Linked DNA regions of Rattus norvegicus. The protein of the gene in region 1 interacts with the protein of each later gene in a biochemical or structural test. Links are inferred from orthologs where the notes say so. Each region holds a gene or a part of one and is shown on either strand. Other genes may lie near its edges. The genes, in order: Reln and Vldlr.

What was found.
Region 2: the proteins of Reln (region 1) and Vldlr form a complex in vitro, tested with the Homo sapiens proteins (6 studies listed by BioGRID). The link is inferred for Rattus norvegicus from reciprocal best matches to the Homo sapiens genes RELN and VLDLR.

Annotation. Positions count from the first base shown.
Region 1 is NC_086022.1:13,627,230-13,631,505, forward strand, and holds the start of Reln (reelin precursor), read left to right. Parts: upstream 1-1,338; 5' UTR 1,339-1,510; coding exon 1,511-1,742; intron 1,743-4,276. UniProt on the Homo sapiens protein: Extracellular matrix serine protease secreted by pioneer neurons that plays a role in layering of neurons in the cerebral cortex and cerebellum by coordinating cell positioning during neurodevelopment.
Region 2 is NC_086019.1:234,239,332-234,243,726, reverse strand, and holds the start of Vldlr (very low-density lipoprotein receptor precursor), read right to left. Parts: upstream 3,042-4,395; 5' UTR 2,859-3,041; coding exon 2,777-2,858; intron 1-2,776. UniProt on the Homo sapiens protein: Multifunctional cell surface receptor that binds VLDL and transports it into cells by endocytosis and therefore plays an important role in energy metabolism.

The DNA.
Region 1 (4,276 bases):
TGTGTTCTACATAGATGTTGAACTTTGGGAGGATTTTAAGTAATGGAGACCAACGAGCAGTTCCTATCTGCTAAACCTATGCTTTGGTAAGAGGCAGAAAATAATCTTTTGCAGTGAAATGACCACAGAGGTCTCCTTTTCGATCTTGCCTTCTGATGCCCTTTTCCCAAACTCAGGCAAAGACTACCATTTCAGACATTCCCGTTTCCTGGTTTCTTTATAAGCAAGGCTTTCTTATTCTGGCTTGGTGCTGAGCCTGGGGAAACGCATTAAAACCTGGCAGCCCTGTTCTCACTTCTCTGGGTGCCTCCGGGCTCCTGCCAGCGGCGCTCAGTTAAAAATGTGCTTCTAGATGGTTTCACTTGTCCGCAGTCCTGCGTGCGGCAGCTCATTACCGCCCGCTTCATCCTTGTTGCCAGCCACTCCTCTGCATGCCTTCCCCTCCCCCACCCCAGGGACAGTGGTCATGCATGATATGAAAAAGAAATAAACTCGGACCTAAAATTTACTGCCCCCATCTCCGTCCTAGGATTTCGGGAGCAACACGTAAAGCCAGAGTCCGGCGAAGCGTGCCTGTCCAGTCCCCTCTCCACAATCCCCACAATCCCCACAGCCCCTACAGCCAAGCAGCCCGACTATCTAGCCCCCCACCACTCCAGGTGGCAATCCCACCGTCACCCAATCTCCCTTTCAGCCTGGCTGCCGCTGAGGACCCGGGCCGGGGCAGCGGTGAGGTCGCGAGGCCTGGCTGGAAAGGGTACGGGCACGCGGGGCACCGTCGCGGCTCGGGGCCACTGGCGGGCGGGTCCCCAGAACAAGCGCTGGGCGCGGGGACTGCGGGGCGGCGGGCCCCGAGGGGCGCGGGGAGCAGCCGGCGCAGACAAAGAACGGCGCGGTCCCCGCCGCCCTCGGCTTCCCCGCGCGTCCTCGCAGAACGGGCAGCTGTGAGCCCCGGGCTCCGGCTCCCCGGGGCAGCCCGTCGGTCCCCGGCCGTTCACCGTTCCCGCAGCGGCCGGGCAGCCCTGCCCTTCCCGGCCGAGCGGGGCGTGGGCGGGAGACGCGCGTGTGCGCGGGACGCAGCCCGGGGTGCGGACACAGCCCGAGGGGGCGGGGACGGGCGCGGGGGCGGGGGCGCGGCTGGGACACGTGTGGCGGCGGCGGGGGAGGGGGCGGCGCCCGGGGCTTTAAGAAGGTGCGGAGGGGGCGGGCGCTTTCCCAAGCCCGGCCGAGGGGCGTCGCATGCACACGGGCAGCGGCGGCGCTCGGAGGCGGACGACGCGCTCTCGGCGCCCGCGGCCCCGGTGTCCCCACGCTCTCGCTCCCGCGGCCCAAAGTAACTTCGGGAGCCTCGGTCTCCCGCCAACTTCCCCCCGCGGGCTCGGTTGCCCGGAGCCGCTCGGATCGAGCCCGCCGCCGGCTCGCCTTCCCAGCACGCGGCTCCTCCGTGCCGGTGCCTCCGAAAGTGGATGAGAGAGCGCGCGGGGCGCGCGGCGGCACGGAGCGCGGCGGCATGGAGCGCGGCTGCTGGGCGCCGCGGACTCTCGTCCTGGCCGTGCTGCTGCTGCTGCTGGCGACGCTGAGGGCGCGCGCCGCCACGGGCTACTACCCGCGCTTCTCGCCCTTCTTTTTCCTGTGCACCCACCACGGGGAGCTGGAAGGGGATGGGGAGCAGGGCGAGGTGCTCATTTCCCTGCACATTGCGGGCAACCCCACCTACTACGTACCGGGACAGGAATACCATGGTAGGTACCACGGCATCCACAAGGCGCCGCGGTGGCCCGCGAGCGCATCTTCCCATCCTCTTCCTTTTTCCCAGGGGCCAGCCGGGCAGAGACCCGGACAACCTCCTACCTCAGCGGGGTTCGCTACCTGGGGAGAGAGAACAAAGTTAGTGGAGAATGGAGTCCTGAGATGGGATTTCAACTGTCCCTTAACACATCTCGGGATAAACTGGTGCTTATGTGACAGGCCACACAAGCTTTGGGCACTGCTGTCTTTCCCTCCTCACTCCCTGCAGCTGCCTGCCTAACTTGTGTATTCTCTTTTCCTAACCCCAGTACCTAGATACCAGACTTTTGTCCCGTTCTGGGACCCCCTTGGTGGGTCCCCAGGTGGCGCTGGGATTGTCATTGGACTTTGCAGGCCAGCTGCCCACAGACTTGGAGCGCTTTGGTCGGTGGCTGCCCATGCCGGCGGCCAGCTAAAAGTTCCCGCTGCTTTGCAGCCAGGAGTCCCCAGCGATCTACCGAGTGTCAGGCAATCCTCAAGAACCAGAGCGGCTGTTTCCAGCCCTTTATTCTTTTAAAGGGTCATAAAAATATCAGTGATTGATGATTTCTGTCATCCCCTTCATACTTTTAGCTTGATGCTTGCTTTTGTTAGCATCGTCTGGGTGATGATTCTTAATGACTTGTATCTGCACCGCTTTAAGTCCCTGGTAGGAGCTACAAGCTACTCGCGGGAAAGCCGATCCCTCTCCAAAGGGATCAGTATGCAGTCCTTCAACGAGGTTAAAACATTACTCAAAAAGGAAATGTAGCTACAAGAGGAGTAATTTAATGTAGTATGCAACCCTTCATTGAGGTTAAAACATTACTCAAAAATAAAAATTAGCTACAAGAAGAGCAATTTAATGTGGTACCTATTCTTTTGATCAAGTGGAATTATGTGGGGAGATAAAACATGTTTACTTTCAGTCTTCATACTGGGACTTCTTAAACAATGATAAAAATATTAAATTGGAAAATTTCCACAAAATATTGATACCCAATTAAATAAGCTATCATAGAGTGAACTCATGCCATCCCGTAGACACCGTCTGTAATAGGCTACAGGTGTTGACAGAGCAGAAGATGGCTGGCATTTCACATAGATTTGGAAGTGAAAATTTTACAAAACTACTTCAGTTTTCCATTTCAATAAAACCTTCCTATCCACCCCCAAATACTTTGAGTATGTTCATCCTAGATTTTTAAACCAGTGCCTTCACAACTTTGTTGTGGAATGGTGGCAGCCTTGCCCGTGGAATTTTAGAATTTAATTTTAGGAAGTTAATTTCTGTGACTAGTCTTTTAAAGAAAAGGGCTGGGGTTGGGGATTTAGCTCAGTGGTAAGGCGCTTGCCCAGCAAGCGCAAGGCCCTGAGTTCAGTCCCCAGCTCCGAGGGAAAAAAAAAGAAAAGGGCTTGCTTGTATGCGTTCCCTTCCCGAGAGTGATCAGGTGATTTTTCTGAGGCCATGAAAATCTTTGAAGTGGAAGGAACAGCTAGGCCTAACCCGCAAACTGAGACAGTTGTCACTTGGTGTGCCCCTTAGCAGATGTGCTAGCCTATTAGCTGTGAGAGTCATGGGCCAGTGAGTGAAGGCTGGTCTTAGAGGTGCTACTGTCAGGTTGTGATGGAGTCTTCGATGATGACAAAGCCGTATTGTCCCCCACCACACAGATCCTCTGTACAGCCCTGGTCGGCCAAGAAAGCACATGTGAGACTAAGAATGTAGCATCTGCAGCTTTTGCTGTAAACCTCAGCCTGAATGTAATCATGTCACTAAACCTGAAAAAAGGTGACTGTATTATTTGGATTGGACATGGCAGGGAACAGGTCCCTGGAATCTCTTTTATGCCACCAGAAAAGATGGGGCGGGGGATTTTATCACGAAACTTGAAAGGTCAAATTATTAGAGAGAATAATACCATTTTAAATTCCCATTAAATACTGTATCGAAGTTTTAGCTTTGGGAACCAGCTATACAATGACTCTAGGCCTCCAGTTTTTTTTCCTATAGAGTAGGCTAGAGGCAAGAGAAATGCTTAAAACTGAAATTATACGTCCATGTGGCTTTCATTATTAAATCTTTGGAAATGAAAGCATCTGTAAGAATTGACTCACTATAGGAAGTCATAATAAGTACATTCGTGGTTGGCTCGTTTTGGTGAATGTTGAAAGTCAGAGGTCATTTGGCTAAAATGCCTACTCAGGTGAGGAAATCTGTAAAATTTTGCCTTGGGAATCTCTTTCTAGCCGTCTACATCTTCTAAATGCAGCACCTATGTCAGGAAACACGGGTTTGTCTTAGATTTCCATGGAGCTCAGGGCTTTGGCTGAATGGCATTGGGTGGAGGGCTGGTAGTTTTGAGGTTTTTTTTTTTTCCTTTTTCTTTCCCCCTAAAGACTGTGCTGAGAAAGACCTGGTGTGTAGAATGGTACCCACCATAGACTGTGAATGGAGATGTCACCTAGTCTCTGAGGCTTGGGCTGTGTGGCAGTGTATAATACAAAC
Region 2 (4,395 bases), on another chromosome or scaffold:
AGACTCAAGCATTAAAAGTGAAGAACTGCGTTGACATGACACAGCCCTACAGCTACTGGTAAAAGGACAAACCTGGGCAAACAGCTATTTCAGGTGTTAGGAAATGCGCTGCCCACGAAGCTTGGATTGTGACTCTTTTTTAAAGAAGAAATCCCTCCTCTACATGGAATGCTATGATTGCTACCCTCTCTTGGTGCTCCATCAGGGATTATTTCTCCTGGTCATCCAGATTCCTACCTGCAGGCACGCTGGTATTGCTGGTAAGTTGCTCACTCCCATTGTAAGAGGCATAATACTCACTGGTCAGATAGGAAGAGCTCTTGCAGAACTCCGGCTCTGAAGGCTGTGCAACATGCCCCATCTGAATCTATAGGTAGGCTGGAGGGGGAAAGTCCTAGAGTCCCCATGTATTCTGCCATCAGCCCTTGTGATGTCTCGTTTGTTAACATCCCTTGTTAGCTTCACTTCAGTTTCTTGAAGAAACTCTGCAAACACATACCTACCCTGTGTCGGGTAGTTTAGAGTAACCCCTTGTATGTGCATATGCATGCCCGTGTGCGTATGTGCGTGTGTGTCGGTATGTGTGTTGGGGGGACAGAAGGAAGCATTGGAGAGAAAGAGAAAGCATAGAAGGTTGGGGGCAGGAAAACCAGTCCACATGTTTCGGGACTTTGAACTTAAGACACGGCTCTCTGAGTTTACTTATGGTCAGTATCTGCTTCAACCAACTCCAAGTTTGCTGCAGCTCAGAAAGAACTGCCCCTCCCCCTCTGACTCTTTAGGATCGTGCCTGCCTGTTTTCCTCTTCCACTTTGGCAGCACCACCATATTCCACTTGCAGTAAAGGGGGAACAAAGGTTACCCCCGCTTTCCTGATCCCAGCCGAACAACTTCTGATGTTTGACTAGCTCTTTGCAGCAGCCTGGGTATTTCCTACCACTCCATAGAAAACAGCACCTGAGAGAAAGTTAGCGCTTTAAAATTTCCCAAGAACAGAAAAGGTTCTGCAGCTAAAGTGACTCCTTTCTCCCACCTCCCTGAATCACAGTCAATAATGGATTTTATACTTTCGTGTTTTGAAATATTACAGAATACATAACGCGAGTCGAGTCACTCTTCTGAGGGATGGTTTAATAAGTTAACATTACTCATCCATTAATGATTAATGTCAGCGTCTGAAATGTTCGGTTAAGCAGGGCTTCTCTGGGCGCATAGGCTTGCCACACGTAGGATTCTGGCGTCACTGTACATGGGCCCTTTTCAGAGTGCAGCTGGAGAAAGCTCCAGAGGGAAAGGCCCCTCTGAGCCTGGCAGATCTTAAAGGTATCCCAGCTGGGGCAGCTCAATTAACTCCGCGAAGACACGTGACCAAGCTAAACGCAATCCAGCTACCAGCCAATCGCATGGGTTAGAAAAGCCCTGCCCAGCTTCTCACGCTCCGGACAGCGGAACCAAAGGCCCAGGGGCGCTGGGGGACTTAAACACCCCAGTATAGCTCGACAGACCGCTTGACCACACACTTGAAAGTTCGCTCTCACTCCAGGACACACGTGACCGCACGCGGGCGGGCCTTCTAAGCTACTCGGGCGACAAGAGATGGGGATCGTAGACTATTTAGAGCGGGGACGGCGTTCTGTCTAGAGCCGGTTGACAAGCAAGCACTCTGGTGTCACCTCTTAAGACCTCTAAGACCTCTTCAGTGGCCTGCCAAGGATCAGACCGGACCTTGTTAGGAAGGCGTCTTATCACCTGCTCTGGAAAGTTGTATGACCCAAGATGAGACTCTGAAAGTACACAGGGCTCCGAAGTCAGTGTGCTGACCCCCGGGGACTCGATTGTAGTCACCCCCGCCCTCCGCAAGCTACAGTCACACTTCAGCTCCAGCACCACACCTTCCGGCCTTATTGTGTAGAATAAAGGCTAATTACAGTCACTACACTGGGACTCAGTTTCTCTGGGGGAAAGTGTTGCCCAGAATGAGGCTCAGCAAAGTAACCTGATTAAGTCTGGATCCCACTCCCCTCCCCCGTTCAGTTATCTCAGAGACCCCAGAGGTTTTTAAAGGCTGCAGTAGCTGCGGAATCCCCGGGGGAGGGAGAAAGAAAGGCACTCAGAGGACAGTCCAGTTGAAAGCCACACTTGGAGCCTGAGAGATGGCCCGGCGCCTGGGGAGTCGCAGTCCCGGGCGCAGGCTGCGTACTTGACATGGCTCGGCCTCCAGGCTGCCGCCCACCGAACGTGCGCCTGCTCACGGCGGCGCGAGGACTACAGGCTCGGCCGGCACCTGGTGCCCGGTGTCCTCGGAGACGCCCACCTTCACCCACCGTGCGCTCTCAACCCTGCTTAAGTCTGAGGGACGCACCCGGGCTTCCAGGCCCCATGCTCTGCCAGGGTCCTAACAGCCCGCCTGGCAGAGGAGGCAGAACCATTGTTCAGTGGCTCTACAGCCCACATCCCCTAGCCCTTGTCAATGGGAGGTGAAAACCATGTAAAACAGAGGTTCTGGAAAGAAGGGGGACACAGAAGGATGACAACAAGTTCAAGGGACGCTTCAGGACACCCTAAACCCCACAGTCCCCCGGGCCCGGCTCCCAGTAGCCTCGGCTCTGACAGCTCAGAGGCGCCACCCGGGTGGGGAGGGGAGCAGGAGAGGAGCGTGGAGAGACGTCTGCTAGGAGGGGATGGGCAAGAGGAGCCCCGGGGTCTCCCAAAACGCAGCGATCGCGGACGCCCGGCTTGTTTCGGGCCGAGTGTGGAGGGGCGCGTCCCCACTCACCGCTTGCAGTGGCGCCGCTGTCCCGGGGCGCCCAGCACAGCGCGAGCAGCAGCCACAGCGCCCAACGCGCGGACGTGCCCATGCTGCCCGCCCGGATGGTGCCTCCGTCGCGCCGTCGTTGTCGCCGTTCGCTCCGCACAACAAGTTACCAGCCCTTCGGAGAGGAGGAAGGAGGTGGGGGCGGGGAGGGAGGAGGCGAGGAGGAGGGGGAAGGAGTGAGGAGCCGGGAGCACGGAGAGCACGCAAGGAGCGGGCACCCCTTCTCTGCAACTTGCACGCTCTACTCCTCGCCAGCCACCCAGCCAGCCAGCCACCCGGTCACCTCCCCCGCCGCGGCCGCGGTGTGCGCGCAGACCCTGCGGGCGGAAAATAATGCAGGCGTTGCAGAGAAGGGGAGGGAGAGGGGAGGGAACGGCGCGGGAGGAGGGGGCGGGGAGCCCGTTCGCCGCCGGGGACAGCTCGAGTGAACGGTCTTGGGGCACCCACCGGGGCGGCGGCAGGAGCGCGGCCGAGCGGCGCGGCGACCCCAGCGGGGGAGCTCAGCCCAGCAGCTCCAGCACGCACCGCTCTCCCGCGCGCTGTGAGGAGGGTGCGGGGGCAAGTGGCAGCGTGCGTGCGTGAGTGGCTGGGGCTGGGGCTAGGGCTGGGGCTGGGGCTGTCGCCGCCGCCATCCGGACGGCTCCAGGGGCTCGGCTTCTCCGCGCGTCGGCCTGGGGCTCACGGGGGACCCGGGGCGGCCTCTGGTTGGCTCGCGCACCGTTCTCACCTCCAATCCCGGGTGCCTGTCCTAATTTCCTGATCCAGGGAACCTGCGGCCGCAGCAGCTGTGCGCTCCCTAGCTCCCTACAGTCGCTACTGTACCCTCCTGGCGCCGTGGCAAGGAGCGCTGATGCAACTATTGCTGCTGTTGCCACCGCCTCCGGGCTTGATGGGGTTGGCAGTTGAGGGGTCTGGGGGCAGCAAGGAACCCTCTTCCCCCCTCTCCAGAGCCCCTAGGAAGGGCTGATGTTGTGAGGTCGGTAGGTAGCATCTTCTGAGGGGACTCTTCTCGCCAACCTGAAAGTGATGAAGAGGAGGGATGCGAACGCTCCGCTGTTCTGTGTGGGGTTCGGTGTCCCATCACAGTGGCAAGCTGACATGCCATTTTGTTAAAAATTAAATGTGGCTTTAAGCAAGAGTGTGTGAAAGAGAGAGAGAAAAAGAACAAGAGCGCTCCCGCGGTTGTGGCTTGTCCTCTGTAATAGAAGAAGACTAAAATAACCGAGTCTGGGATGGGGAGGAGGGAAATTGCCAGCGCAGCCCTGCATTCTCTCATCAACGATTATAGTTAATTGCTAATTGCACAAAATGATAGTTTGAGGGCCTGTAATTAAAAGCTTAACCTTTTTCTGGTTGGAGGAAGGGGACCCCGGTAGATTTATTCTCGGTATACTTTGTAACGTTCAATTACGAGCATTGTGGAGGGAAAAAAGGAAGTAAAGTCAACCTTCTCGAAAGGATAGATCGGGGGAGGTGGGTGCCGGGCAGGACCTAAGTCTAGGATTTGTTCTTATTGAACTTCAGTTTTCTTGAACACATCGCCCTGGTTGAGAGGCCTTCTGTGCTCTGGTCTAAGCAGA